Canis lupus familiaris: one gene and its partners. The protein of the gene in region 7 interacts with the protein of the main gene of each other region in a pairwise test. Links are inferred from orthologs where the notes say so. Each region holds a gene or a part of one and is shown on either strand. Other genes may lie near its edges. The genes, in order: KIF5A, LMO4, AP2B1, DLGAP1, CYTH1, SNAP25 and ITSN1.

The links.
Region 1: the proteins of ITSN1 (region 7) and KIF5A interact in a two-hybrid assay, tested with the Homo sapiens proteins (2 studies listed by BioGRID and IntAct). The link is inferred for Canis lupus familiaris from reciprocal best matches to the Homo sapiens genes ITSN1 and KIF5A.
Region 2: the proteins of ITSN1 (region 7) and LMO4 interact in binary tests that used the Homo sapiens proteins (3 or more experiments, as listed by UniProt). The link is inferred for Canis lupus familiaris from reciprocal best matches to the Homo sapiens genes ITSN1 and LMO4.
Region 3: the proteins of ITSN1 (region 7) and AP2B1 interact in binary tests that used the Homo sapiens proteins (3 or more experiments, as listed by UniProt). The link is inferred for Canis lupus familiaris from reciprocal best matches to the Homo sapiens genes ITSN1 and AP2B1.
Region 4: the proteins of ITSN1 (region 7) and DLGAP1 interact in a two-hybrid assay, tested with the Homo sapiens proteins (2 studies listed by BioGRID and IntAct). The link is inferred for Canis lupus familiaris from reciprocal best matches to the Homo sapiens genes ITSN1 and DLGAP1.
Region 5: the proteins of ITSN1 (region 7) and CYTH1 interact in a two-hybrid assay, tested with the Homo sapiens proteins (2 studies listed by BioGRID and IntAct). The link is inferred for Canis lupus familiaris from reciprocal best matches to the Homo sapiens genes ITSN1 and CYTH1.
Region 6: the proteins of ITSN1 (region 7) and SNAP25 interact in a two-hybrid assay, tested with the Homo sapiens proteins (2 studies listed by BioGRID and IntAct). The link is inferred for Canis lupus familiaris from reciprocal best matches to the Homo sapiens genes ITSN1 and SNAP25.

What each region holds. Positions count from the first base shown.
Region 1 is NC_049231.1:2,000,984-2,004,483, forward strand, and holds part of KIF5A (kinesin heavy chain), read left to right. Parts: intron 1-1,992; coding exon 1,993-2,080; intron 2,081-2,190; coding exon 2,191-2,264; intron 2,265-2,661; coding exon 2,662-2,766; intron 2,767-2,988; coding exon 2,989-3,037; intron 3,038-3,500. UniProt on the Homo sapiens protein: Microtubule-dependent motor required for slow axonal transport of neurofilament proteins (NFH, NFM and NFL). Can induce formation of neurite-like membrane protrusions in non-neuronal cells in a ZFYVE27-dependent manner.
Region 2 is NC_049227.1:61,435,912-61,439,853, reverse strand, and holds the start of LMO4 (LIM domain transcription factor LMO4), read left to right. Parts: upstream 1-1,142; 5' UTR 1,143-1,686; intron 1,687-3,762; exon of another isoform or gene 3,763-3,854; intron 3,855-3,942. UniProt on the Homo sapiens protein: Transcription cofactor. Plays a role in establishing motor neuron identity, in concert with MNX1, acting, at least in part, to disrupt LDB1-LHX3 complexes thereby negatively modulating interneuron genes in motor neurons.
Region 3 is NC_049230.1:38,042,700-38,046,782, forward strand, and holds the start of AP2B1 (AP-2 complex subunit beta), read right to left. Parts: upstream 2,801-4,083; 5' UTR 2,649-2,800; intron 2,454-2,648; exon of another isoform or gene 2,073-2,453; intron 1-2,072. UniProt on the Homo sapiens protein: Component of the adaptor protein complex 2 (AP-2). Adaptor protein complexes function in protein transport via transport vesicles in different membrane traffic pathways.
Region 4 is NC_049228.1:70,475,038-70,479,030, forward strand, and holds the start of DLGAP1 (disks large-associated protein 1), read right to left. Parts: upstream 2,801-3,993; 5' UTR 2,717-2,800; coding exon 2,638-2,716; intron 2,385-2,637; coding exon 1,399-2,384; intron 1-1,398. UniProt on the Homo sapiens protein: Part of the postsynaptic scaffold in neuronal cells.
Region 5 is NC_049230.1:3,543,606-3,547,105, forward strand, and holds part of CYTH1 (cytohesin-1), read left to right. Parts: intron 1-637; coding exon 638-786; intron 787-1,176; coding exon 1,177-1,288; coding exon of another isoform or gene 1,289-1,289; intron 1,290-3,500. UniProt on the Homo sapiens protein: Promotes guanine-nucleotide exchange on ARF1, ARF5 and ARF6. Promotes the activation of ARF factors through replacement of GDP with GTP.
Region 6 is NC_049245.1:12,476,510-12,480,009, forward strand, and holds part of SNAP25 (synaptosomal-associated protein 25), read right to left. Parts: intron 658-3,500; exon of another isoform or gene 430-657; coding exon 312-429; exon of another isoform or gene 138-311; coding exon of another isoform or gene 20-137; exon of another isoform or gene 1-19.
Region 7 is NC_049252.1:28,830,322-28,834,247, reverse strand, and holds the start of ITSN1 (intersectin-1), read right to left. Parts: upstream 2,801-3,926; 5' UTR 2,568-2,800; intron 1-2,567. UniProt on the Homo sapiens protein: Adapter protein that provides a link between the endocytic membrane traffic and the actin assembly machinery. Acts as a guanine nucleotide exchange factor (GEF) for CDC42, and thereby stimulates actin nucleation mediated by WASL and the ARP2/3 complex.

The DNA of each region.
Region 1 (3,500 bases), on a different chromosome or scaffold from region 7:
GAGCATCTTCACAACTTATTTCTCTTTGTGGATTCCGGTTTTGGGGTTTCAAAGGCTTTTACCAAAGAGAGATCAGACAAATATTTCAGGTAGATTTTTTTTTCCCCATAAGCCAGACTTTTCAAATCTCTTAAATATTAAAAAAATATATCTACTAGTTTTCCTTTATGCAACGAAGTAAAACAAAGGAAACAAAATGAAACACACATTAAGAAATTAAGAAAAAATACTTGTACATGGTTTAAAAATAGAAACAATCCAAGGGCACTGGCTGGCTTGGTCAGAAGAGCATGCAATTCTTCATTTCGAGGCTGTGAGTTTGAGCCCCCCCTTGGATGTAGAGATTATTAAGTAAAATAAAACTTAAAAATTTAAAAATATATGTAAGTGGGACACCTGGGTGGCTCGGTGTTGAGCATCTGCCTTTGAATCAGGGTGTGATCCTGGCATCCCGGGATCAAATCCCATATTTGGCTTCTGCATGGAGCCTGCTTCTCCCTCTGCCTGTGTCTCTGCTTGTCTCTCTCTGTGTCTCTCATGAATAAATAAATAAAATCTTTTAAAATGTGTGTGTGTGTGTATACACACACACATATATATGCAAGCCAAGATACAAAATGTAAAATAAGGGATCCCTGGGTGGCGCAGCGGTTTAGCGCCTGCCTTTGGCCCAGGGCGCGATCCTGGAGACCCGAGATCGAGTCCCACATCAGGCTCCCGGTGCATGGAGCCTGCTTCTCCCTCTGCCTGTGTCTCTGCCTCTCTCTCTCTCTCTCTCTCTCTCTCTCTGTGTGACTATCATAAATAAATAAAAATTTTAAAAAATGTAAAATAAAAGACTTGTCTCTCTTCAAAGTAATCATTGTTAACATTTTTTGTATAATTCCTTCTAGAAAAAAGTTCTATGTATAGATGGAATATTATGAATATTCCTAGAGCCGTTATCTCCAGCTCTGACCAATTAAAATTTTATGACTTCCTTAATTAGTTGAAACATGTCTCCCCAACTCTGGTGACCATAGACCTAGGAGCTTTACATTTCAGTTGGATAAAGATGGGGTCTATAGTAAAACAACTTGACAACTAAGTCATAATCTCTTTATACTGAATGGCAGGAAAACATGACTGAGAAATTTGTCATTTGTGATGGAGAACAAGCATAGTCTTATTTAATCTTACCAGAAAAAAAATCTTACCAGAGATCTGCACTTTAGTATGATTACATAGTGAATATATTCTTTGTTTGGTTCCCCAGGTTTTAAATATTTTGTATCTTTAGCATGCTTGTTAGCACATGATTTGTAACATAACCTAAATGAAACAAAGTACTTGTAGGTCAGTAATTTGTTTCAGTATCTCTTTGCTAAAAGGAGGCCCATGATTCTGATTTCATATATTTCTTTCACGGAGAGAGAGCTTGTGTTAATGTTTGAACAACAGCTCAGCATCTTGGTGTACCTGTATTTCATTTACACAATAGGGAACATAACCGACATGTGCCCCTAACTTTGCATCTTTCATTTAATGCATCTTGAAGATTCGTCCGCATCAGGACATATGCATCTATTGAGGAAGATATTTTTAAACCTAGAGGTAGATTTTTAATGTTAATGAATTGTCTTTCACTCTTCACGGCCTGCGGCCCTACTGTCTTTTCCCATTGGTTTCCCAGGGAAAGGCCTGGAGTGGTGCAGTACTAAGTCATCACACCAAGACTGAGATCCCCTCACACAGTCTGAGGCTGTGACACTTCTCAATGGTGCTCTCTAGCGCACAGGAACAGCTCCTGGTGTCAGCACCAACTTTTGCTCCTCTTTGTCTGGTTTCCTTCATCCCGCCCCCCCCCCCCCCCCCCCCCCCCGCCCCAAACTGTCCGTGGATATAGATGGCTGAAAAACAGGTACCTTCTCAGGCTAATGGAAGGGGGCTGCAGCATTTCTTCTTCCTCATTTCCTGACTCCTGATGTCTGCCATGTTTTATTTCCATTCTAGGGGAAGCCATATGTCTTTGACCGTGTGTTCCCCCCAAACACGACTCAGGAGCAAGTTTATCATGCGTGTGCCATGCAGATTGTCAAAGGTAGCATGTATTATCTTTGTAAGATGTATTTTTAGAATGTATATTTTCTGGTTCCCCATTCCCTACTCCACTTCTTTCCACCAATGCTCTTTCTTGGCTATGTCTTCCAGATGTCCTTGCTGGCTACAATGGCACCATTTTTGCTTATGGACAGACATCCTCAGGGAAAACACATACCATGGAGGTGAGGGCTCTGACTTTCATGAGGGGTGAGGAACTGTGAGTGTTAATGAGAGGCCAAGGAATCTCAGGCAAGATCTAGGAATCAAGCTTGCTTGGTCTGGAGGATGAACTGAGGGGCAGGATTATAATGGAAGCTTGGTGAAATCCCTCTAGCCTGCTGCAGTTTCCCATCCTTTCCACTACTCCAGTTTGCTTCTTTTGATCCAGAAAAGCAGCTGCAATAAAGGTCCAAAGGGACCCTCAGTTCTCTCCTTGTTCTCGGTAGACATGGCAGTGACTGCCTTGTACCTTCAGATGATCCTCTCATCAACTATCACCTTCATGTTCACCTGTTGACCTCTTGGGTGGCCTCATTGTTTTGAGTTCCAGTCTCAGTCTCAGATACTCTTCCTCTCCAGGGAAAGCTGCATGACCCCCAGCTGATGGGAATCATTCCTCGAATTGCCCGAGACATCTTCAATCACATCTACTCCATGGATGAGAACCTGGAGTTCCATATCAAGGTGATCACGGTTTAACAGCTGGGTGTCGTCAGAGAGGGACTAGGAGGAGAAGAGCTAGTATGAACTCATTGAGAACCTGGGCACCCCAACTTATTTTCCTGCCCTGCTTACCACAGTTCTTCTGCTCTATTTCTCTTCCTCCTACTGGTTGAGTGGGTCACATTCACTTGAGATCCCTATATCAGACTTATGATAGGCCCTCTTCACTTTCTCCCTGACCAGGTTTCTTACTTTGAGATTTACCTGGACAAAATTCGCGACCTTCTGGATGGTGAGTGGTGTTTAGCCCCATTGGATGGGCAGGGGTGGGAGGAGAGCAAGGAAAAGAAAGATCACATTGTTCTTGGCAAGAGATGCAGAGGAATCACACACTCATACCCCTGTCCCTTGCCTCCATTCACCAAAATTTCTAAAAGCAAAAAGGGTCAGAAGATGAGCTGAAATACCTAGGCCTATATAGAAACACCCTGAGACCAGCTGGAACCTTAAGGCTAGAATCCTGGAGGAGGAGAAATTTAAGCTTTCAGGGTGTGGGGATTTAAGCTTGATGGGAAAGTCTTTCTCCTTTTTAAAAATTTAATTTATTTGTTTGTTTGTTTGAAAGAGGGAGAGGGAGAGAGGACACAAGTTGGGGGTAGGGGGGGCAGCAAAGGGAGACAGACAAACAGACTCCGCACTGAGTGCAGAGCCTGAAATGGGGCTCGATCTCATAACCCTGAGATCATAACCTGAAC
Region 2 (3,942 bases), on a different chromosome or scaffold from region 7:
GTTAAATTTATACTAGACGTGACCTTTCTTCCTCCCCAGAGGCTGTGGGATGGTGAATGTTGCCATTCCTTGTTGCTGTCTGGGGGGGGAGGGGGGGGGGGACGGGGGGCTTGAGGAATCGGGCCTCTCCTCCTGCACAGCAGGGGTGGATGGAGGCCGAGCCCTCCTCCCTGAAGTTCCCCTGGACCCCCAAAGTCCGGGCTGTGAGCTCTTCAGCTCCGACTTCGGACGATCCCCTACGAGACGCCCACGGGGCTCTCGGCCGGCGCTCGGGCCCACGCGGGGGACCGGGGCCGGGCGGCCAAGTCCTGCAAGACCTGCGGACTCGGTCCCCACCTCCTCGCTCGCTCAACTTCCCACTAAGGGCTCATCCGTCTCCAACGCCCGCGAATTAAAGGCAGAAAAACAAAACCTCTTCTGCGTGCGAGCGAAGCCCCCCGCCCGGAGGTTTCGGGGAGACTCTTCCTCCCCAACAGGAGGGGACCCATTTTTGAGCAAGACGAGAAGTTTCCTGCGGGGCTCGCGCGGGCGCGCGGGGGGGGGGTCCCCGAGGGGCGCGCGGGTGCGGGTCCCCGCGATCGCCGGCGCGGGCAGGAGCGGCGCCCCCGGCCGCTCCATCCTGCCCCCCGCGGGAGGGGGTTGGGGTCCCGCCGGGGGTCCCGCGAGGGTCCCCGGGGCTCGGCCGCCCACCTGCCCCCGGCCGGGCCGTCTCCGCCCGCCGCCTCCCCCGCTCCCCCGCCCGCGGAGTCTCGTTCCAGTCCTCCCTTTGTCCTGCCCCGGATTGGCAGGTTTTATTATTCCGCCTGAACAACCCGGCCGCCCAGTGGCTGAGGGTCGCTGACGTCGGCGGCAGAGCCGGGGAGTAGTTGGGATTCGGCTCTGTCAGTAACACATGTGTAAGCGCCGCGCAGGGAGCGAGCGAGCCGGCTAGAGGCCAGCGCCGCCGCCGCCGCCGCCTCCTCCGAGCCGGGCGGCCGCCGCAGCAGCAGCAGCCCGGGCAGCGGCGCAGGCTCCAGCGCGCCGGGCCCGGCCGGCCGCAGCTCCCCGGCTCCCGGCCTCCGCGCCGGCCGCCGCCGCTCCGGGGCTCTGGTGCCCGCGGCCGCTCCCCGGCTGGAGGGGCAGGAAGCGCGGCCGAGCGCCCGCCGCCGGCCCCGAGCGAGCGAGCGGGCGAGCGAGCGGGCGGGCGGGCGCGCGGGAGGGAGGAAGGCGGAGGAGGAGGAGGAGGAGGAGGAGCGGGAGGCGCGCGGGCGGGGGCGGGGGCATATACAAAGTGAAGCCACATTGCCAAACTTGCAGCAGCGATTGCAGCAGTTGCTGCCGCTGCGCCGCGCCTGAAGCCGCGCCGCGCGGGCCGCGGGCTCCTGCAGCTGCTCGCGCGGAGCCGGAGCCGGAGGCGGAGGCGGAGGACGACGCGGAGGACTCAGCCTGACACTCCAGCTCCCGGCCGCCTGCCGCTTACGGCGGGGCCCCCCGACCCAGCCTCAGGGCGACGCGTTTAAAAAAAAAAAAAAAAAAAAAAAAAAAAAGCAGCCCTTAGCCCCCTCCTCCCCTTTCCTGCTTCTGCGAGAACATCCCCCCTCCCTCCAGCTCCGCCAGCCAAGGCGCCCCTTCCTTGGAAGCCGAGCGGCTTCGCTCGCTTTTCGCCGCCGCCGCCTCTCGCAGTATTGCAATATAGGGGAAAAGCAGGTAAGGGGACGGCTGGGGAGCCGCGGGCGAGGGGGGGCAGAGGGAGGAGGGGGCCGATGTGGGCCAGGGCTGTTTTCTTTGGCTTCCTTCCCTTGACCGTCCCAAATTGCAAGTAAACAATACGTCGGCTTGGATAATGCGCGAGTCTGAAACTACCGAGGCCGGCCTGCGAGCTAGCACGGAGGGCAGCCGGCCCCGGGCCGCCAGCTTTGTAGCGGTTCCTGCTTACAAAAGGGTTCTTCTTGGAGACGGGGCTGCTGGGGACCTGGGAGGGTGGGGAGGGGTGTGTGTGCGTGTGTGCGTGTGTGTGTGTGTGTGTGTGTGTGTGTGTGTGGTAGTGGGGGGGTATTTTCAGTTCCTAAGGGAAAGGCCGGAGGTGCTTAAATGAGGGTTTAAGTATGAGAAGTAGTGTGGGGGAAATAGTCACGACCCCCCCCCCCAGCCCCCCAGTAAACACTATTTTTGAAACAGTGGCAGAAAGGATCTAAGTGAGCAGGATTCAGTATTGCTGGTTCTTTTCAAAAATTCCTCTTGGCTTATAAGTCTTTTGTTCCAATCCAGGAGAAATCCGGTGAATCACCTAATTAAAATCAAGACATGAATTAAGCATCCATTTTTGTACTACAAATTGCCAGCGCTACGTTTGTCCCTCCCCTGGTCTCCATTAAAAAACACCAGAGACGTTGTTAAAGGGGGGCAGATTTTGCCTCTAGCTGCCAGTTCTGCTTTCTATTTCACTGACTATCCCAGGACCTAAATTGCTTGGCTATGTAATTACTAGAGTATAAGCCTATTTAACTTAAAAGCTTTCTTTTTTTTTTTTTTTTTTTTTTCCAACTCTAAATGAAACTTGATGAGGGCCCGTCCTTAGTTATCAGGGGAGTCAGTTTCTGGTCAGTCCTCTTGATTCATCTCTTTTAGATTTAATCAGCATTAAGGTATTGCTTGTCCTTAAGAGCTTTAGCTAATGGGGTTACTGGATGCTTTTCTCAGTGTAATGTTTCCTTTTCGAAAAAAATATACATATATATTTACCTCTCACCAAAGATGGGGGCGGGGAAGAGCTTGGAATCTCCTCCCTCCCTCTCCCCTTTTAAAAAGGAATTCGGAGCGATTAAAACGTTGGGGGAAACAGTTTAAAGACCTCGGGCAGGAAATGCAGATTCATTTGGGTTAGGGCTGAAATTGTAACAAAAAGCAATTCCTCGAGTAAATGCATCAGATAAATCAATTTACATAAAGGTATGATGCATTCGGATAAATGCAATGCTAATGGGTTTTAGAGTGGTCCTGTTTCCAAAGTCTCAGGGTTTTGTTACAGCTTAATTGGTGCAGTTCTTATTCTGGTTTATTGTGCGGTCACTGGACACACGTTCCGGGACTCTTTCGGAGGAAATGTGTTTAAAATCGGCCTATTTAAGGAACCCGAGTCCTTGTTTCGTTCCCTTCCCCTGGTTGTTTTTTTTTTTTTTTTTTTTTTTTTTTTTTGCAGCAGCCAAGTTGGGCCGGGGACAGGCAAAGTTCGCCCTCTCCCTTCTGAGGTATCAGCTGAATGTCTTGAGCAGATAGCCGGGAGCCTCGGGGGGAGCCTCCACTCTCGGCTTACAGAGGACAAAGACAAAACAGGCTGCTTAATTGGCAGTAAATAACTTGATCTTTTTATAGAATAAGTGACTGGAGGAACACTAGGACTTTATTGGACTCAGGATTGGAGGCAACAAATTAATCGGTTTAGGCTAAGCTTTATAAATTGATTCCTATATTATACCCCAGTTGCTTCTCGTGACATTCATTAGAAAGAGTGGGGAATTTTTTTAAAAGCAGTTTTTGGTGACAGCAGGACTGGCTCGAATATAACTTGTGCATCCCTTAATAGTGCCTTCTCGCATATTATCTGTAACGTCGCCCCCCCCCCCCCCCCACACACACACACTCCCCCCCCTTTGGAGGAACAAAGCTTTAGCATTTAAATTGCTGATCAAGGGCAGATTAGTGAGACCAAAGTGGAGAGTGTTTGTATAGGAAGTTAACAGGCATCCTAAAGTTCAATGATCTATTATTCTTGCCTGTGTCCTGAAAACCCAGAGAAAACACTCATTGATCTTCAAAATGAAATGAGATTTGGAACAATAATGGGAGATGGCGGTCACCACAATGGCATGTGAAAGGTGCTGTTTAAAATACGAAAAACCAGTTTCGCAACTTTACACACCGCACCCCCTCCCTCGCGTCCCCTGCCTCCCCTCCCACCACCTC
Region 3 (4,083 bases), on a different chromosome or scaffold from region 7:
AAGAAAAAGAGGCCAGAAAAAAATTAATAGGGTCAATTTCAAATGGCTCTTTGGGAAATAGCACCTAAATTAGACTTGGAGAGGCCACTAAATCCCTTCTTTTACAGAGTTAGGCTTTACACAGTTTGGTGCTCATAGCGAAAAACTGGCTGGAGTTAACCCAATTAGAGAGCAAAATGGTCATTCAGACATCTTTTATTACAAGGGTGAGACTCTGAGATTTCAAATATTCCAATAATTAGATATTTCAATGCAAAGGTAATAGTGCCTTCCATTATCATTTAGTTCATAAAAAATCACAAGACATCTAATTACAACAGACACCTCTGCAATTTCTTTTTCTTTCTTTCTTTTTTTTTAAGATTTATTTAATTTAGAGAGAGAAGGGATGCTTGGGTGGCTCAGCGGTTGAGCATCTGCCTTTGGCTCCGGGCGTGATCCCGGAGTCCCAGGATTGAGTCCCACATCAGGCTTCTTGCATGGAGCCTGCTCCTCCCTCTGCCTGTGTCTCTGTCTCTGTCTCTCTCATGAATAAATAATCTTTATTAAAAAAATTTTAGAGAAAAAGTGCATGTGAAAAGCAGAGGGAAAGGGACAAGCAGACACTGCTGAACCTGAAGCCTGACATGAGTTTGACCTCATGACTCAGAGATCACGACCTGAGCAGAAATCAAGAGTTGAAGGATTAACCGACTAAGCCACTTAGGCACCCCCACATTTGTGATTTCTATTTAACTATGGCAGGCTACATAGTAATGTTAATATTATACAATAAGAAAGAAGTTCTAAAGTTTTACATCAGATTTTTTTTTAAGATTTTATTTAAGAGAAAGAATGAGCAAGGGGCAGAGGGACATGTAGACTCCTCACTGACCAAAAGTCAGACACGGGGCTGGATCCCAGGACCCCAAGGCCATGACCTGAGCCGAAGCCAGATACCCAACAAACCGAGCCACCCAGGTGCCCCAAGTTTTACACCCAATTCTTAACCGAAATACCAAAACCCTGGAAAACTTAAGCCTATAAGAAGGAAGAAAGAAGAAGGTATGGTATCTAATTCGCTTTTTGCTCAGCTTAGGTCAAACCTGTGCATAAAAATGTAGTATCTCAAAATATGGATGTTTAAGGGGGGGGGGGGGGGATAAAAAAAGATGAAGTAGGCTTTTCTTGAGTCTCTCTTAACTCACAGAATGTTAGCTTTTGTGTTAATTTTACCACCCAACTTTCCAGTGAGGCTGTTTACAGAACACACTATCCTTTCTGCTTCCTTGGGAGTTTAAATTGTTAAGATACCTGCAAACAGTTCTCACTTTACCACCATGCTTAGTCATCACTGGAATGTGTTACACGTTTTCTTGTACAGCTGCATCTCCTCCATCCGCTGCTTTCTATTACTACTCTTAAGTGTACCCTGAGGCTAAGCAATACACTTCCAGAAAGGTAATTAAATCATTTAAATTGTTCCTCCTTGAGACCACCTTCTTGGTCATCCCGCCTTTTCTAAACATGTGGCATTTTCTTTTTCTTTTAAACCGAAATGATCATCAAAACAGTATCTGGCATTTAAAACACACTTCTTGGGGCGCGTGGGTAGCTCAGTCAGTTAAGCGTCTGCCTTCCGCTCAGGTCATGATCTCCAAGTCCTGGATCAAGCCCCACCTCGCGCTCCCTGCTTGGGGGGGGGGGGGGGGGGGGGGGGGGAGTCTGCTTCTCCCTCTCTCTCTGCCTCTCCCCCTAGCTTGTGCATGCTCTCTCCCAAATAAATAAAACCTTTTAAAAAGAAATGTTAAAAATAAGACACACTTCTTTAAAAAAAAAAAAAGAAAAAAGTTTAATGAAGCATCAACACTTGATGCACACTGCTCCAGAAAGAAAAGGCCAGGTGAGTTCGATAAAAGCCTCTCTCCCCAGGTAGAAGACTGCTCTGAAAACAAACGGCACAAATTAATTCTTCGGATTCAAAGAACATGGAAATAAACAGGACATTCCGGTTTCTTTACCTCTACAGCACTTCTCAAACCAGATCATTCCAGCTGAGCCCGGAAAGAAAAAAATTCTGGGCTAAGATTTACCCCTACTTGCTTCCTCTTCTCTTCTCTTCCCTCCAGCGTCAGGAATTCCTCTTCTGCCCCCACCCCGGGCGGGGGGGGGTCAACATCGTAGGGATGTAGTCCTCCATTACGAGGTGGGAGAGAGGTGTCGCTTAACCCCGAATTACGGGAAACTGGCGAGTTTTGCCCGTCAATGGACAAACCTGTGGGGGAATCCCGCTCCCTTTTTCCTTAGCTGGGCATGTCCCAGCCTCAGAGGGGACGCCAAGCGGGGAAGACGGAACATCTCTCGCCTTCGGCCTCTACTGGCCGCACCCCGGCCTCCGGCCCTAACCTCCGACCTCGAACATGATCTTCCCTCCGGTGCCCCCGACTCCCAGCAGCCACACCCGAGGATTCCCTCGCCACGACAGAGCGGCGGACTCCCTTTCTCCGACCCTCTTCCTCACAACGGTCACACCCGACGGCTCACTCCATCCTCAACGGTCACGCTCCTAGGATTCCCTCTTCCCCCTGCCAGCCTCCAAGGCAACCTGGGGTCCCCCCCCCCCGCAATCAATGAGGGACACACCCCGAAGTTAGCCGCCTCGAACTCACCGGAGGCAAGGGCGGGGGTGGCGGCAGCAGCCAGAGAGCACGGCCCGAGTGGTGTTGTAATGGTTTCCTGCACGTCACGACTCCTTCTCCAGGTCTAAGCCACTGCGCAAAACCCACTTTGCCAGGGACAAAGATGGTGGACAGGAAACTCTGACGTCAGAGAACCTCGCCGCGAACCGTCATCCCCGCGCGCGGGAGAACCTGAACGGCGGCGAGCTCCGTAGCCTTGGAGACAGGCGGGTTTCGCTTGGAAACCGGAGGCGGGACGCCCGGGCCAGTGGCTCTGCAGAGGGATGTATGAAACAAGCTGCTGTTCTCTGGACTTGATTCATCACACAGGCGCTCCCTAAAAACTCTCACATAGAAAAGGTGAAATATCCTGTCTTTTTATTTAAAAAAAATTTTTTTTTATTTTTTATTTTTTATTTATTTATTTATTTTTTTAATTTTTTTTAAAGCTCAGTTAATGGGCAGCCCGGGTGGCTCAGCGGTTTAGCACCACCTTCAGTCCAGCGCCTGATTCTGGAGACCCGGGATCGAGTCCCACGTCGGGCTCCCTGCATGGAGCCTGCTTCTCCCTCTGCCTGTGTCTCTGCCTCTCTCTCTCTCTGTGTCTCTCATGAATAAATAAATAAAATATTAAAAAAATAATAAAGCTCAGCTAATTTCGCAGGCCAGTTCAGGACTGTGGACAATGGTGACCCAGCCCCGGACTGTCCACGGGCAGTGGGACCAAAGGATAGTAGTGAAAAGAAAACAGGTTGAGATGGCATCAAATCTGAGTCCAAATCCATGCCACGAAAATGACTGATAAATCACTTAACATCTCCTTATCTGTGAAATGAAGCCAATGATCTAATTCTGTCCGGCTTGTGAAGTTTAAATGAGATCAAGTAAGTAAAGCACCTGGCTTACAATAGGCGTGCTTACACAAAAGTAAGTTGCTTTTGGAAACCAAGACCTAGAAATCTCTGTACCCCCACCTCAATCTTGCTGTGAACTTAAAACTGCTCTAAAAATAGTAAGTCTTTGGCTAAAAAGAAAAAATGGAAAGCAAGAGAGCCTGGGACAGAACTTGAAACCAAAATGCAAAAGGGACTGCAAAGTAGAAAGGGAGAAGGAAAAGCAGGTGGTTAAAATGTTTTAGCATGTTTTTAGAGTTCTTTTTTCTTTAGATTATTTATTCATGAGAGAGAGAGAGAGAGAGAGAGAGAGAGAGGCAAAGACACAGGCAGAGGGAGAAGTAGGCTCCATGCAAGGAGCCTGACGTGGGACTGGATCCCAGGTCTCTAGGATCAGGCCCTGCGGCAAAGGTGGCGCTAAACCACTGAACCACCCACCGGGCTGCCCCTATTTTTAGAGTTCTATAAAGTAGGAACTATACCAGTCTGTTCACTCTATCTCTGAGACCTAGCCCCCTCCCCAAAATTTATTG
Region 4 (3,993 bases), on a different chromosome or scaffold from region 7:
GGAGGTTGGAATAGATGTACTCTTTAGCTCTCAAATTCCATTAATAGTTTCTGTGGCTTAACTCATCTAGCAACCTTATACTAAATGAGGCAATACCACTTTGAGTGGTGTTGATTATGGAATTGTGTGCTGTTTGTGAAAACTATCCTCATATTGGTGGCACCTTCTGAACACTGGGATGGACTCGGACACTGTCCTTGCCCAGTGACATATTCTCAAGGTTTGGTAGAGGCATTGTCAAGGGAGCCAGTCTTGTCAAGAGGAATTCTGAGAGCAAAAAGTTGAATTTCTCAGCAGAAGACCTTTTTTCTTGCATTTCTTCTTAAGGTAAGAGTGCAAAACAATCATGCCATGCCTTTATAGTCCAGTAAAAACCTTTTTTTTTTTTTTTTTTTTTGTTTGTTTGTTTTTTAAAGATAGTTGTACCAGGAGAGAAGGGAGAAAAAAAAAAAAAAGACACCGTGAAAAGGAAAAATATGAAGGTCCTTCTTTGGGAGGGTTGTATCTTGGGGAAAATGAAAATTACTAGATAGAGGAATTGGCCCCAGGGGTGGGTGGTGGGGGAGAAAAAGACTCTGCTCCTGACATTTTTATCCAGGGGAATCTAGGTTCAGTGAATGGAAGGGTATTAGGGAAAGACATGAAGAGACTGAGAGAGGAGGAGCGGCTTGCCTTGGGGTCTGTACCCGTGTGGGATTTACAGGCTGACACTAATTGCATTTTATTGTGTGGATGCTTCCCTCCGCTTTTCCTCCTCTTCTCTGTTGTCCCAGGTCTCTGCAGCTGTGCTTGTCAGGTCCCCAAACTGGCTCGATCTCCACCTCCTGAGAACCCAGGGCCTTATTCCCATTCTCTGCGCTCTTGGGTGGGGGTTGGCGAGTTCCGGTGGGAGTGTGGTTAGTGTTGGAGGTGGTGACAACAATTGCAATGGTGACGATATAGATCAAGTTTCCCAAACAAATAGCTTAAGGCAGAATTTTACAATAATAATAATAATAATAATAATAATAATAAACAACCCCTCTGGATAGATCTAATTAAACTCCTTCCAAAATTCAAAAGATCATTGTTGGCTTTTGTAAAAAAAAGGTGGATTTATTTTAAAATTCTGTGTGGACTCCCCTTTCCTCTCCTCCCTATCCCATATTCCCTCAGACAAAAGAGGAACACTAAACATTAATAACTCCTTGCCTTTATGTAGGCGTGCTTTTCAAAGCACTTTTTATATCTAGTATCTCAAGATAACTGGATGGAGTTGGTCGCAAGTTTGCTTCCTGATAGGAGCAGTTGGCCAGACAAATGCTAAACAATGTGCAGAGCCCAGACCGGGACCCAGAACACACCACACAACTGGCAGGTGACAATTTCTAAGCATCCATCCCTCGACATAAATGGTACCTGAAGGTACTGGCAGGAGCGTTCTTGTTGACACGATTCGGACTTCACCATGGCCTGGTCCATGTTAACCGAGGCTTTCTGGTAAACCTCCCTGGCCCGGCTCACGGTCAGCGTGGAGGACCAGGCGCTCTTCTTCAGAAGCGGCGCGTCCAGGTTGACCGGCAGGTTGGCGCAGGTGGAGCACTTGACGTCGCTGTTACTCCGGGAGGCCTTGACCGCCTGCTCGCTGATGGTGTTGTAGGCCTCCACGAAGTACTGCGAGGCCGAGCGGTCGGGGCACCTGCCCATGGTCATCACGCCCGAGGGGGCGTGGTAGATGCACACGTCGCCGTCCAGGTTGTCGTCGGAGCTCCACCAGCCGGGGGACGTGCTGGGGCGGGCCTTGGGCTCGGGGCGCCGCTCCTTGCTCTTGCTGCGCTTGCCGTAGCGCACGGGCTGCGGCTCGTCGGGGCTGGCTTTGCCCCCGTTGACGCTGCCCTTGGCCGGCCCCTCCAGCGAGTGCGACTTGGTGAAGAGCTTCTGCACCGAGTGGACCAGGTGGCGGATGCGGCCGGGGCTGTCGCTGCGGTGCTCCACGGCCGTGCGCTTGTACTGCAGCGTGTGGTAGCCGTCCCGGCTGAGCGGCAGCTGCCTCTCAAACTGGTCCAGGAGGTTGGCGGGGATGCGGTTGGCCTTGGCGGCCAGCGTGCGCGGCACCAGCGCGCACTCGTCCTTCAGCTCCTGCTGCGACGTGTAGTGCCTGCGCGGGAAGGTGCTGCTGGCCAGCGGGTCGCTGAAGGGGCCCACGCACTCGGCCTGGAAGGAGTTGCGCTGCGTGTAGTAGGGGTGGTCCGCGGGGTGGTGCTCCACCGGGCTCAGCAGGTAGGGCTTGCGGTCCGAGTGGTGCGGCAGCGAGTCACAGGCCGAGTCACAGGTGACCCCGTGGTGGTGGCTGCGGCTGCCCGATAACCCTTTCATGGCGATGACACCCCGCGGCTGGGTGAGACCTGCGGGCGGGGAGGAACGAGAGGGGGAGACGGTCAGCACTTCTCTTGAACATCGACGTTGCCCTTTGGAGGATCCCGAGGCGGAAGGAGCCCTCGCTAGCCTGCAAGGCGGTTTCAGGGCATCGTCCGACCAGCTCTCCGACCTCGGTAGGGTGGGAAAGCGCGCCGCAGCCGGGGACCCAGCGGCGGGGGGGGCGAGGGCTGGCACACCCGGGGAGGGGGCTGCGAACATGCTGAACTGATTTCAGATCACCTGAAAGCAGACCCTCTCCCTCTAGGATTCCGGTAACGGGCTGTATCGCAGGTTTGCGTCTTGCCTGTCTGTCAATCATCGAGCACGGGCACCCCAAAGGCCCAGTTTCCCCGGGAAGCCCTTGCGGATGGATCCCCCTTCCCGAGAGAATTAGTTCCCCTCGGTGTTTCCATGGCATCTGCTGCACACTCTCCCGGCTCCTATGGAACTGTCTGTCTCAGGCATTCCCGGGCTACTTCCCTCCGTTCCTTGCAGGTCGGCTTAGACCCCTTAGCCACCTTTCTGTCCCCCCCCACCTGGCCCCAGGCTGGCCGTGTAAACACAAGCTAAGCACTCCATCAGGGTAAATAAAATAAATGCGGGTGGTAAAAAATGAGAAGCGACTGGCCTCTTATAACTCGAGGATAGATCTTTCTCCCTTCCCTCACATGACTTTCCCGTTAGAATTCTGTAGTGACCATCACAGCTCGCAAATAACCGCCCCCCCCCCCCCCACCAACACCACAAGTGATTAGAGTTGAAAATAGCGATGGTGGCAAATAAATCAGAGCTGTAGAGAAAATCTGCCCTGTTTTTTTGTCAGAGGGATCAAGAGCTGCTGCTGCTGCTTCTTCTTCTTCTTTCTTCTATGTATTTATTTGAGAGAGAGAGGGAGAGCCCGGGTAGGCAAGAGTGGGGGTGGTGCAGAGGGAGAGGGAGAGAATCTCAAGCAGAGACAGGGCTAAGCATGGAGCTCGATGAGAGACTCCATCACACCACCCATGAGATCATGACCTGAGTCGACACCAAGAGTCAGTCGTTTAACTGACTGAGCCACCCAGGTGACCCAATGGCTTCTTCTTAACAGAGCAGTTGAAGGATCAGCTTGAACTGGCTACTTTGAATGTCATGGCATCTCCTTTTCCTGGTTTAAAGGTTTCTGGTTAAACGTTCACAAGCGATGGCAAGAGGGCCAAAGGAAAGGCCCTGGAAATGTTCCTGAGGACACAAAATACCTGGGCCTGAGGGTCAGATCTGCCTCAAAGAGAAGTGACTCCTACAGATCTACCTGTGGGATCCCACCTCGTTCTAAGCACAGATCTTTCCTATGCTTTAGTAGCAGAGGCTGCTGTTCCACAGGGCAGAGTATTTTCTTTTGACTCTAGTTTCTTTGGTAGCTGAGTTCCTATTAACAGCCTGATTTATTTTTAAAGCTCCCTGTAACAAAAATTGTCATGATAGGAGTTGTCCTGAAAAGACAGCATGACTGTCCAAAATATCACTAATGTCATTTCATATTCAGAGAGGGAGAAATAAATGGTTTAACTTAACAACAATCACAACAAAATAAAACACACACACACACGTGGGCTAATG
Region 5 (3,500 bases), on a different chromosome or scaffold from region 7:
GGGATCGAGTCCCATGACGGGCTCCCTGCATGGAGCCTGCTTCTCTCTCTGCCTGTGTCTCTGTCTCTGTTTCTGTCTCTCTGTGTGTGTGTGTGTGTCTCTCATGAATAAATAAATAAAATCTTAAAAAATAATAAAGAATTAAAAAAACAAAAAATTTGTATTTAAGACGAGGCTTTATTGACATGAGGAAAATGCTGATAAGGTTAGCAAAAAAGCAGGATCAAAACTATCTTTCTGCTTTGATTCCAGTTGTTAGAGTGTGCATCTGTGAGATGCATTTGTGATGTGCTGCACTAGGCACATTTGTGTAACGAAACAAAATAAGTCATTAGCAGGTAGAGGGTTCATAGGTATTTGGGATGTTCTTTTTTACACATTGTGTCGTTCTCCAGGTTGCCTGCTGCATTCTCCTTTTGCAATCTGAAAAATAATCACCTTTAAGTCTTGAATACTTGATGCACTTATTTGTGGAACTCTTTAGTCAGCAGCAGTCAGTAGTGTGCATTTAGAAGGCATCCCGATGCGTGGATTTGTCTCATCCTTTTGAGAGCATGGCTTTTAGTTTGATTTCATGGGACATTTCTTGGTCCTTCTGGCCAGATGTTTCTGATCCTCTTTTTGCTTTTCTCTTTAGACACTTGTTACGTCCTCTCATTTGCCATCATCATGTTGAACACCAGCCTGCACAACCCCAATGTCAAGGATAAGCCCACTGTGGAAAGGTTCATCGCCATGAATCGTGGCATCAATGATGGGGGGGACCTGCCCGAGGAGCTGCTCCGGGTGAGCGCACTCTAGCCCAGGTGGTGGTGAACATGGGACAAGAGTGAGACATATGCTCTGCTCGTAAAATTTCTTTAATTATATAAAGTCCATTAAGAAAGTAGTCATGAGGCCCAGCAAGGGAATCAGGAGGGGAAAGTGGTTTATAAGTCTGAAACAAAGTGTGAGAGGAAGTCAGGCTGCTTTCTTTTCTTTCTTAATTATCCATTAGGCATCTTATTTATTTTGTCTCTGCGAGCTGCCCGAAGGCAGAACTGGTCCTGTTCTTCTGTTCGCAGTGCCTGACAAATCATGGCACATAACCTGTGCTTACTGAATGAATGAAGAGAAAGGGGAGGGAGAAGAGATGTTTCTAGAACCAGAGACATGCAATGTCGTCTTTTATCCCAGAATCTGTATGAGAGCATAAAAAACGAACCCTTTAAAATCCCAGAAGATGATGGGAATGACCTCACTCACACTTTCTTCAATCCAGACCGGGAAGGCTGGCTATTGAAACTCGGTAAGTAACGCACTCTGGTCAGGGCTCCTGATGCAGAAACAGAAAGGATGCGTGCGTGCACTCGCACATCCACGCGCTGTGGGAAAGTGGGGTTGGTGACAGGAGGCACTATGGAGAGACTCTGGGATGAAGTGCTAGTGTTCTGGTGAGATCCACCTCCATAGTTAGTGCCCCACGGCATATACAGATACTGCTGGGTGCAGACTCACTCTGCATAAACACTGCTCCCATGGGTTCACACTCCACATTTTTACTGTGCAGTTGATTAGCCAGGTTTTATTTCAAGGCAGTTCCCTGAGAACCTGGTCCTGGTCCTTTCTCTGCCCTCTTCGTCCCTGGGAGGGTGGCCAGCCGTGTCCATCTCTCTACTTCCCATCACACAGATTTATATCTGGCGCTCCCACCCCCCCACCCCAGTGCATCATCACTTCCTTCTGCATCTGGCTCCCCACAGGCAGTATGCATGGCAAACCTGAGCCCTTGGCTGCAATGCGACCCACAGCGCTCTTACTCATTCTCGGGCAGTGGTTCCCCACCCCACCCCCAACCTCCTTTCCAATCCAAATCAGCCACTTTGATGATTTTGTTCATTCAGAAAAAAAAAAATATATATATATATATATATACATATTCCTCTTCCCTCGGCCAAAAGTGAGCTTATGTTGCTGAAATTTGTAATCATGCCTTGTATGGAGGTGATAGAGTAACCAAAAGGAACATTCGTGCCCATGTGTGATTATTTCATTACTTATTCCAAAACACAGAGAGCCCCTGGACATAATTGGCACTTTTTTGGCCCTGGGGGGAGAATACGTTCCTCTTTTCTTCTGCCTTGGCCTTTTGATGCATGGGTTCCCTAATTACCAGGAGGTGCTCCCCCTCTACCATTTCATCGACTAGTCCTGGTGAAATTAGAAGTCGTTACTCTCTCGGCTGTGACTGACACCCCTGAGAAGTGCTGAAATGGAATCTTAAATTTCTGACCAGTTCAGGTAGCAGTAGGATTTATAATTCCTTTAAAGAGCGTAGCCCAAGACCTTGGGTTTCTATATAATTATTTCATAAATTCTCCTGAAAGCACCACTTCTCCAATTGGGGCTTTGGCCATCTCTTGAGTTGGCCGACATTTCTCACGTCTCTAAGCCAGTAGAATCTTTGAAGCGAAGGTTCTAAAATGGCCAACCCCAGAGACAGCCGTCCTGCTCCACGCCTTTCCTGCCAAGTGGACCGAGCTAAAAGGAAACCCACTGGAAATCTAAAAAGTACATCCAAGTTTGGATTTACTTCCCCTCCAGTGAAATTTGTTTAAATGCTAATGCTGAGTGTTAGCTTTGACAGCCCAGATGCTAAAATTAGAACAGTGTAGAGATTATCTTGGCTCTTGTACCAGGATGACATGTAAATTCATGAGGCATCCCATAGTTTTAAAAGGAAAAAAAAATTAACGAAACGTGGGATTTGTTTTGAGGTCATTGCATTACCTTTTCTAAAGCTCCTCCAAAGCCCTAAGTCTTCATATTGTGTTTTCATTGTAGCCACTTAGGATCACCCCCGTGTACTTATGTGCTGCAGAAGGCGGGGCTCCCAGCCATCTGCAGTTGTGTGTGTATGTCCATGTATGCATATGGCCGTAAGAATGTGTATTCTTGTGTGCACACATGTGTACGTATGTATTCATGGGGATATGTGTGTGCATTCTTACACACACCTTAAAAAGTGATAGCCATCTGCAGAGAGACACTAAATTTTCCCCTCTTAGCTCCGGATTCTGGATGTACTAATAAACATTCACTTTGTGAGAATGGATCTGCGGCATATTTGGGGCCAGGTTTTCGGTAGTGCTGCAGATCCCGCCTTCGCCAGGTGGTGCGTGGCGGATGAAACAAGCTCCCCCATTCACACGCCAGACAGTGGCATTCGCCCCGCTAGTGATTTCATGTTTGGCTCCCCCAGGACAGATGTGAATGACTAATACAGTGCACTTTGAGATTAAGGAGTTTGGTTTAATTTCTTTGTTTTAATTTTCTTTTCTCCCTCATTTGTATGTTTCCATGATTTTGGCTCTCCTTTTCCTTGCCCCAAACTCCAGGAGGTATGTAATCCCCCCAACCTGCTCGCTCGCTCTGCCAAGGCCACTGTACTTGCTGCAGCGTTTTTCTTATTTTGTTATTTTTGGTTATTTTGTTTTTTAATTGCTGGTGGTAGTGTTAAT
Region 6 (3,500 bases), on a different chromosome or scaffold from region 7:
GCAGGCAGGCAGCACCTACTTGTTACAGGGACACACACAAAGCCCGCAGAATTTTCCTAGGTCCGTCAAATTCTTTTCTGCTTCTTTCATGTCCTTATTGATTTGGTCCATCCCTTCCTCAATGCGTTCCAGTTGTTCTGATTAAACACAAGTATTTTATCCCCACAGAATGAAGCAGATGGAAAAGGACAAAGAAAAAAAAGACAAAACTTCAGACATTCACTTTGACATTAAAAAAGAAAAAAATTAAAAGAAAGAAGAAAAAAAAGAAAACTGGACGCCACAGATTAGAGCTGGTACCCAGTACCTACTTGTTACAAGGACATATGAAAAGGCCACAGCATTTCCCTAAATCTTTTAAATTTTTCTCGGCCTCCTTCATGTCTTGGTTGATATGGTTCATGCCTTCTTCGACACGATCGAGTTGTTCTGGTTAGGACAAAGGGATGACAGTGTGGAATGAATTTTTTTTGGGTTTCCAACAGAACATGAGAAATGACTATGTGGAACGGAATTTGAAAGAGAAAGATATTACAATGCACGATCCCAGAGGATGCATTGCTGTAGACTGCTGCCACCTTACACGAGCACAGGTGGAAGGAAATGAACAAGAAAGATGTTCAAAAGAGTCTGTAATTCGGACATGATGGGATGGAGGTACGTAGGCCTGTTTGATTCTGAGGATCCAGGAAAACAGCACAGCATAGTCACTTACTCAGGCACCAATGAAACCCGAGAGAAAGAAAAACAGGGTGTTAATGTTTTAGGAATTCAGATTTAGTGCTACTAGAAAAGGTATCTGTCTCAACTTTAAATATCTCTATTTTTTGGCTGTAAGCATCCTGGACCAGGTAAGGGTAGCAAATAGAATCAATCTTCTTTGGGGAAAATAACAATTAAAGTGATAATTAGCAATGGGTACCAGATCTTTTTTTCCCTAGCAGTGGGCTGCTCCCTAGCCCAGGGGCAGTTCTTGGTTTTGAATACTTAATTCATACAGACACTGTTAAAAAAGGAAGCAACATCAGCAGAGTAATGTTCCAAGCACTGGGACATTTAAATTCCTCTCTTCATCCTATGACTTACTTGCTATCAAAGTTCTGGAAGGCATTTCACTTCTCTGCCTCCTGATTTCCCAGTCTCTACAATGGGGGGCATGTTAGATCCCTAACTCAGGCAGACAGCAGGGAAAACAAACACATGGGTCTCTGGAGGAGGGGTGATGGGCTGGAACATAGAACAGTACGGAGTCATTACTGCCAGCAAAGCGGACCTGAGTGCATCTGAGACATAGATCGATAGCCATAAAACCAGCTCATGCTTCTAGGTTGCCAGGGTTACATTCACTAACTTGATTAATTTTTCAAAAGTTATGGCACCACACTGAGTAAATTACAAGTTCAGTGAAGGGGTTTTAAAAACAGTTTTTAAGACCGTTAAAGGAAAGCAGCAGTGCAATGTCTTGGCTGTCTAGTTACAAACCCTAATTATACTTCCATCCCTCTTTTAATCTACATTTCTATGCACACCTGTCCCTTCCCTTTAGGAATAAAAGCTTGATTAGAATAAAACTGATAAATACATTTCGAGTCTAAGGGCATAAATAATTGCTTAAAAAGAATTTCACATTAAATTGTCCAGTGGAAATTATTCCAAAAAATGAAGAAAAGTTCCTTACTGACCCAAACTGGGGAAACGGTCTATCTAGAAAACAAGAGTCTATTGTGTTTTCATTAATGGGGCTAAAGAATAGAATCCAGCTTATTTGGAATCTGCTACCTGTGCCATGCTTTTCAAATGATGGATGAAGGCAAAATTTAAATGTTTCTGCAGCATTGGATAGCTGTAGAAAATAACAGTGTTGTGCTGGTGAACTTCTATTGCATAAGGATAGGTCTAGTAATGTCTTTAAGAAAATCTTTAAAAGGACTAAAAAAAAAAAAAAGTAAGTCTTTACATTCTAGAAGATTCTGTGCTTTTACGAAGGCTTCTTTCTAGTTCCCTTTTAAGACTGTAATAAATTAGTCTATAGATAAAATTATCTATTGAATAGGGGGATTGGTAGAGAGAGAGGAGCTCAACATTGTCAAGGGAAGAACCATATTAAATACAGACAGAAATCCCAAAGGAATACTTGCTAATAGCTTCCTGAAGTGCTGGGTTGAGATGGGATTGAAGGAGCATCTGGACTCAGGGAAAACATGAGATACTCCACTAATGATAGCTGGAATACACGCAGATTATGGCATGGGGATACACAGTCAGGCATTTGTCCTTCCTGAGGAGTTTCTCTGACAACATTTCAGAAGCCCCACTGACTGTGGCCAGGGATTAGGAGGTAATAAAAATAAAATATAATAAAATAAAAACATGAATTGGTCCCCAAGAGTTGTATTTCTGAACCAGAGAATTCAAATTAAAATATAAAAACAAATGTGCTCGTCCCAATTGGTATTTCTTCAAGCTGTTCAATCATGGGTTGCCAGACTGTTAGGCGAAGGCCATAGTTAAGAGAGGGATGCTGAAGCTCTTTCAGAAAAGTTGATTCAGAAAATGATTTTATAGCTACTAATATTGGTTGAATTTATCATTTTACACAATTATAAATCAAATCCCTTAATTTAGAAAATATTGTGGGACCATTTTGTCATAGTTAATTCTAACTATTCATTTTTAGAGTGTACTGTGTTAGGCATATTGAGACTTCATGGCATTTCAATGGATTTCTGTGATGACATCTCTCAGGAATGCTTGAAAATAATCAATATCTTCATTCCAACCTAGAGTGGCCAGCAGCATCTTACTGGCTGATCCAATGTACTGTCCATAGTTGACTGCTTCTTACCTCCCTAAGCTTGTTTTCTGTTTTCTGTCTATTCTTGGAGACTGGGAGAACAATAGCATTTTGAGTTAGTAGAGGTATTCCAGTAGATTATACTATACGTTTGGGCAAGAGATTGTACCTTCTTTTGCCATATTGGGATGACTGGTTATTTATGATAGTTCCACCAATGGCAGGATACTCAGGGATCTAAGTTTAGACATCTTTTCTACTAATCTTTCTAAAGTAAGGCAACATGAGGCCCTTAGAATACTCAATCTGATTAAAAAAGAAACAAACAGTAGAAGAAGAGCAAGATGTCAATGCTATTGACCCAGTGTGGAAGCCTTTATAAGTATATTCAGTTACCAGATGCTGCCTATATGATTTTCATTATCCTTGATGAACAAATGGAAATTCATTAAATAAATTTAAGTAGCCATATGTGGCTAGTGGCTACCGTATTGGACAGTGCAGCTTTAGTTATTCATAACAGATACTGGTGTGTAAATGTTAGCAAAAGAAATGTTTTCTCAAATGCTACTTTGTAGTGCCATGAACCTTTTAAGAAAGTCAGCTGGCACTCTGGAAGAGGCCTTACTCTGCCCTTACTCTGTCAGGCAGAGGTCAAAGATTTCACTGTTTAGTTTGGCGTTGATCCCATGGGATTTTCCCAAGG
Region 7 (3,926 bases):
GGGAGAAGCAGGCTCCATGCACCGGGAGCCTGATGTGGGATTCGATCCCGGGTCTCCAGGATCGTGCCCTGGGCCAAAGGCAGGCGCCAAACCACTGCGCCACCCAGGGATCCCCGTAGTCCATTTTTTATTAGCAGCCTAAGGTATAAAACTTAGTCTGCTACTTAAAATCTGCTATCCACTTCAGGGGACGGTCTTAGGAGAAGGAAAGCACAGGGCCAGCTGTTCTCCAACTTTTCTATTCCAAGAGAAATTCCTGGAGAACTTGTTTAAAAATCGGATTCCAGGGTCCCATCTCCAGGAATCGGATTCTGAAGTAAGGTGACAAAAAAAAAAAAAAAAAAAAAAAACCTGTATTTTTAACAAGAACCTCACTTAATGCTGATCTAAATGATCTGAGGTCCAGACTTTGAGAAACCCACCAGTAAGTGGAGCCATTCAGAAGAAAATGATCATTCCAAAGAGACTAGTGCTATGGCAGTGAAACCTGAACCAAGTAACATAAACCCAACCCTCACGTAATTAATTCTGTGTCATTCACAAATCTAGCAAATTAAAAAGATGAGTAAGAATGGAGCAATTTACCAGCACCTCCCCCTTAACATCTTATGGGATATTTGAATTTTCCTCAAACTAGGCATTTGCTGAAAAGATGAACTTGAGTTCTACCAACAGAAGAGATAAGCATTAAGAAAAAGGAAATTTCTAGTAAATTGAAAAAAAAAATGCTAAGAGGGACAAACATTTCAGGGAACTAACTTGCTACTACTCATTTTATGCCCTATTTCACAATGCTTAGTATCTGAACAATCCACAGGGTTCCAAAGTACATCAAAAATTTGTTCATTTCCTCTCCTACTCAGGCAGAATAATAATCATAGAGTTTTGTGAAGGTGCCATGTGCCTCGGCAACTTCAACACATTCTTAGATAAAGAAACGCCATTTAAAAGAAAATTCTATCAGAAATGCTTTTTAAATAGTTTTAATGCCACCACTAAATTAGTGTCCCTTCATTTCCAATTTAGATTACCTAAAAAAGTTCCTGGGTTCTTTACCAACCTCCTACAGAAAAAAAAAAAAAAAAAAAAAAAAATTTCCCCTGGATATTACAAGGACGTACATTTTTAGTTATAAAACAAACACCATGAGTGCAACATAAATGTGTCATGTAAACTAGAAGGGAAAAAAAAAAATCTTTTAAAGAAAAAACCCAGCATTTTGTTTGCAGAGATAAACAGGTAGAAATCCTAACCTTGAAGAGAGAAATTTAAGCTTCTGCAACCTTACATCAGCTAAAAATAAAGGTATCCAGGCAAATACATCCCTCCCATTTTAGGGGTTGAGAGTGGCACTTCGCGAACCAGCTGGCCTGCTGGGTCCTGGCCCCAGTTCCTAACCTCAGATCCTGTCCACTGCCTAATGCATGAGATCTCTGAGCCTGTGTGTTCTTCATCCGTTCAAAGGGATTAGTGACATTGCCTCTCTCCGTCAACGGAATTGAGATTTTTTTTTTCCCAGATGCATTTGTTTTTATTATCTGTCCTTTTTTACTGTGCTTGCTTCTATCATTTGCGCGTTTGACCACGGAAACGGCGAGAGCGGGATGCCCGGGGATAAGCACAAAGAGACGGCATCTGTCCGGAGTGCGCATATATTTAAAATTTCAGGCTGGTGCTGTCTTCAGAATAGCAGTGATGATGACAAAGTTCTAAGGGAAACTTTCATATTAAGGGGCTATCAGAAATCTCCACCGCCTCCCACTCAGCGGGGCAATCAAAAAAATAATAATAATTAATTAATTAATTCTGAAAAGACGCGAATTTATTTCTTCAAAAGCAAAGCCCGTCTCCAGTCCGAAATCACAACAAAAGATGCCCGTCGGGAATGTTATCTGCGAAGTTGTTTTCTAATCCCGAGGCAGACGGAGAAGTCAAGGAAGGTGCACCCCATGGGCCGGGTTCCTTTTCCTGCGGATCCCGGTCCCAGGTCGTCGTTGGGGCGAGCAGGGACCGCAGCGGTGGCCCCGCGGGGTCCGCACCGCGAGGCGGCGGCCGGGAGGAGCGGCGGACCCCGGGGACGCGCGCTCGCGGCGGAGGGGGACCCCCGGCGGGGCGCCTCGGGGCCGAGCGGCATTGACTGCCCTTCACCGGCGCGCGACGGAGACGAGGGGATGAGCCGGGGGCTCGAGGCCCGCGGGCGCCGGGTCCCCGGGAGGCTCGGCCCGGACGCCCCCTCGCCCCCGCGGACGGAGGCGCCCCGCTCGGCCGGCCGGGGCTGCGGACGCGCGTTCAGCCCGCAGCCCGTGCAGCCGCCGCCACCCGCTCGGCCCGCCGCGGCGTCCCGGCCTCCCCGCGCCGGCCACCGGCCGCCCCACCGGCCGCCCCGCCGCCGCCCCCGGGAGGATGGGAAGGACGACGCGCAGGGGCGGCGGGTGCCGCGCCTCCCGGGCGAAGGCTGCAGGGCGGCCCGAGGGACGCGCGCCCCGGGCGGCCATCGCGCCGACCCCCGCCCCCGCCCCCGCCCCCGCCGCCGCCGCCCCCGCCGCCCGGTCCAGCCTGCTCCTCACCTCATCTCCGGGCGGGTCCGCGCTGCCGCCCCAGGGACAAATCAGTGCAGCTCACTCGCCGCGGGGAGGGACGCAGGAGCCGCAGCCCCGCACACCATCCCCGCCCGCCCGTGCGCCCGTGCGCCCCGGAGCCCGCTCGGGATTCTCCCTCGCGAGCCGCCGTACTACGGAGCAACCAAGCTGCGCTCCCTCCCCTCTCCTCCGCTCCTCTCTACCTCCTTCGCTCCCTCCCTCGCTCCCTCGCTCCCACCTATCTCCTCATCTCCCTCCGCCGCCTCTCCCGCCCCCGTCCCGGCCACCATCTCCGCCCACGGATGGGTGGGAGCCGGCACTCGCCAATCGCAAGAAGGCGCTCGCGCCTCCTCACCGCCCCCTGCCGCTGCCCCCGCCCACCGCGGGAACGAGGCGGGGGCAACTAAAAAAAAAATGGAAGAGCACGGAGTGACAGCCACGTGAACCAATCAGCGAGCGCGCAAAGGGGGTTGGTGGGCGGGCGCTTGTCACTTCTCCCCGCCCCCTTCCCAGAAGGCGTAACCTTCTGGACTGGGATTTCCCTGACCCGCCTTCTGGAGCTGCACCGGTTTGGGTGCATCCGTCCGTTGTCCTGCGAGGCACTTATTAAGCTGTATCCACCTAAGTCAATTACAAAAGGTTTTAAGGGAGAGAGCAACGTGGAGGCGGAAAAAGAGGCGGGTCACTGCCCAAGGAAGGCGGTAGGGCAAACGGTTGGAATGAGGAAGGGTGTGGTCTTTAATAGAAATTTGCATAAAACGGAACCCATCCGTGAGACTACAACTTCGCCCTTTTATTGGTAGCCCCGGGGCGTCTCGTCCGGGCGGGGCATTCTGGGAGATGTAGTTCTGCGTTCGGTTGCTATGGCGTTCTCCACAGCCTCCGGTCCAGAAGTGACGAGAGGCCTGACCAATGGGAGCAGCGCCTGGGCCAGCGGGGGCGGGCCCTCTGCAGTAGGACTCCAAGGTGGCGGTGGCGAAGACGCAGGCCGTTGGGGCGCCTCGGAGGCAGGTGAGTCCCCGGACCTGGATTCTGTGTCTTTGGAAGCGGGGCCTTGGACTTTGGACGCCTCGCGGAACCGTGCAGCCCTGGGGTGAGTGGTGGGTCGCGTTGCACCCCAACCCCAGACCCTCTTGGGCCCAGGCCTAGCTTAGCTGAGGCCGCCGAGGGGCGGGAAAGACTTGACCATTTCCTGGTCCTTACAGGTTTTGATTGTGGGTTTTATCTCCATTTGCATCTCTCTTTACATTTATAGAAGCCAGAGTCGGGAAGTTCCCTTCCCCTGAATCTCCCAGGTTGGATATTTTTTGCACACCCACCCCTGCTTTCTTTTTATTCCTATAATTT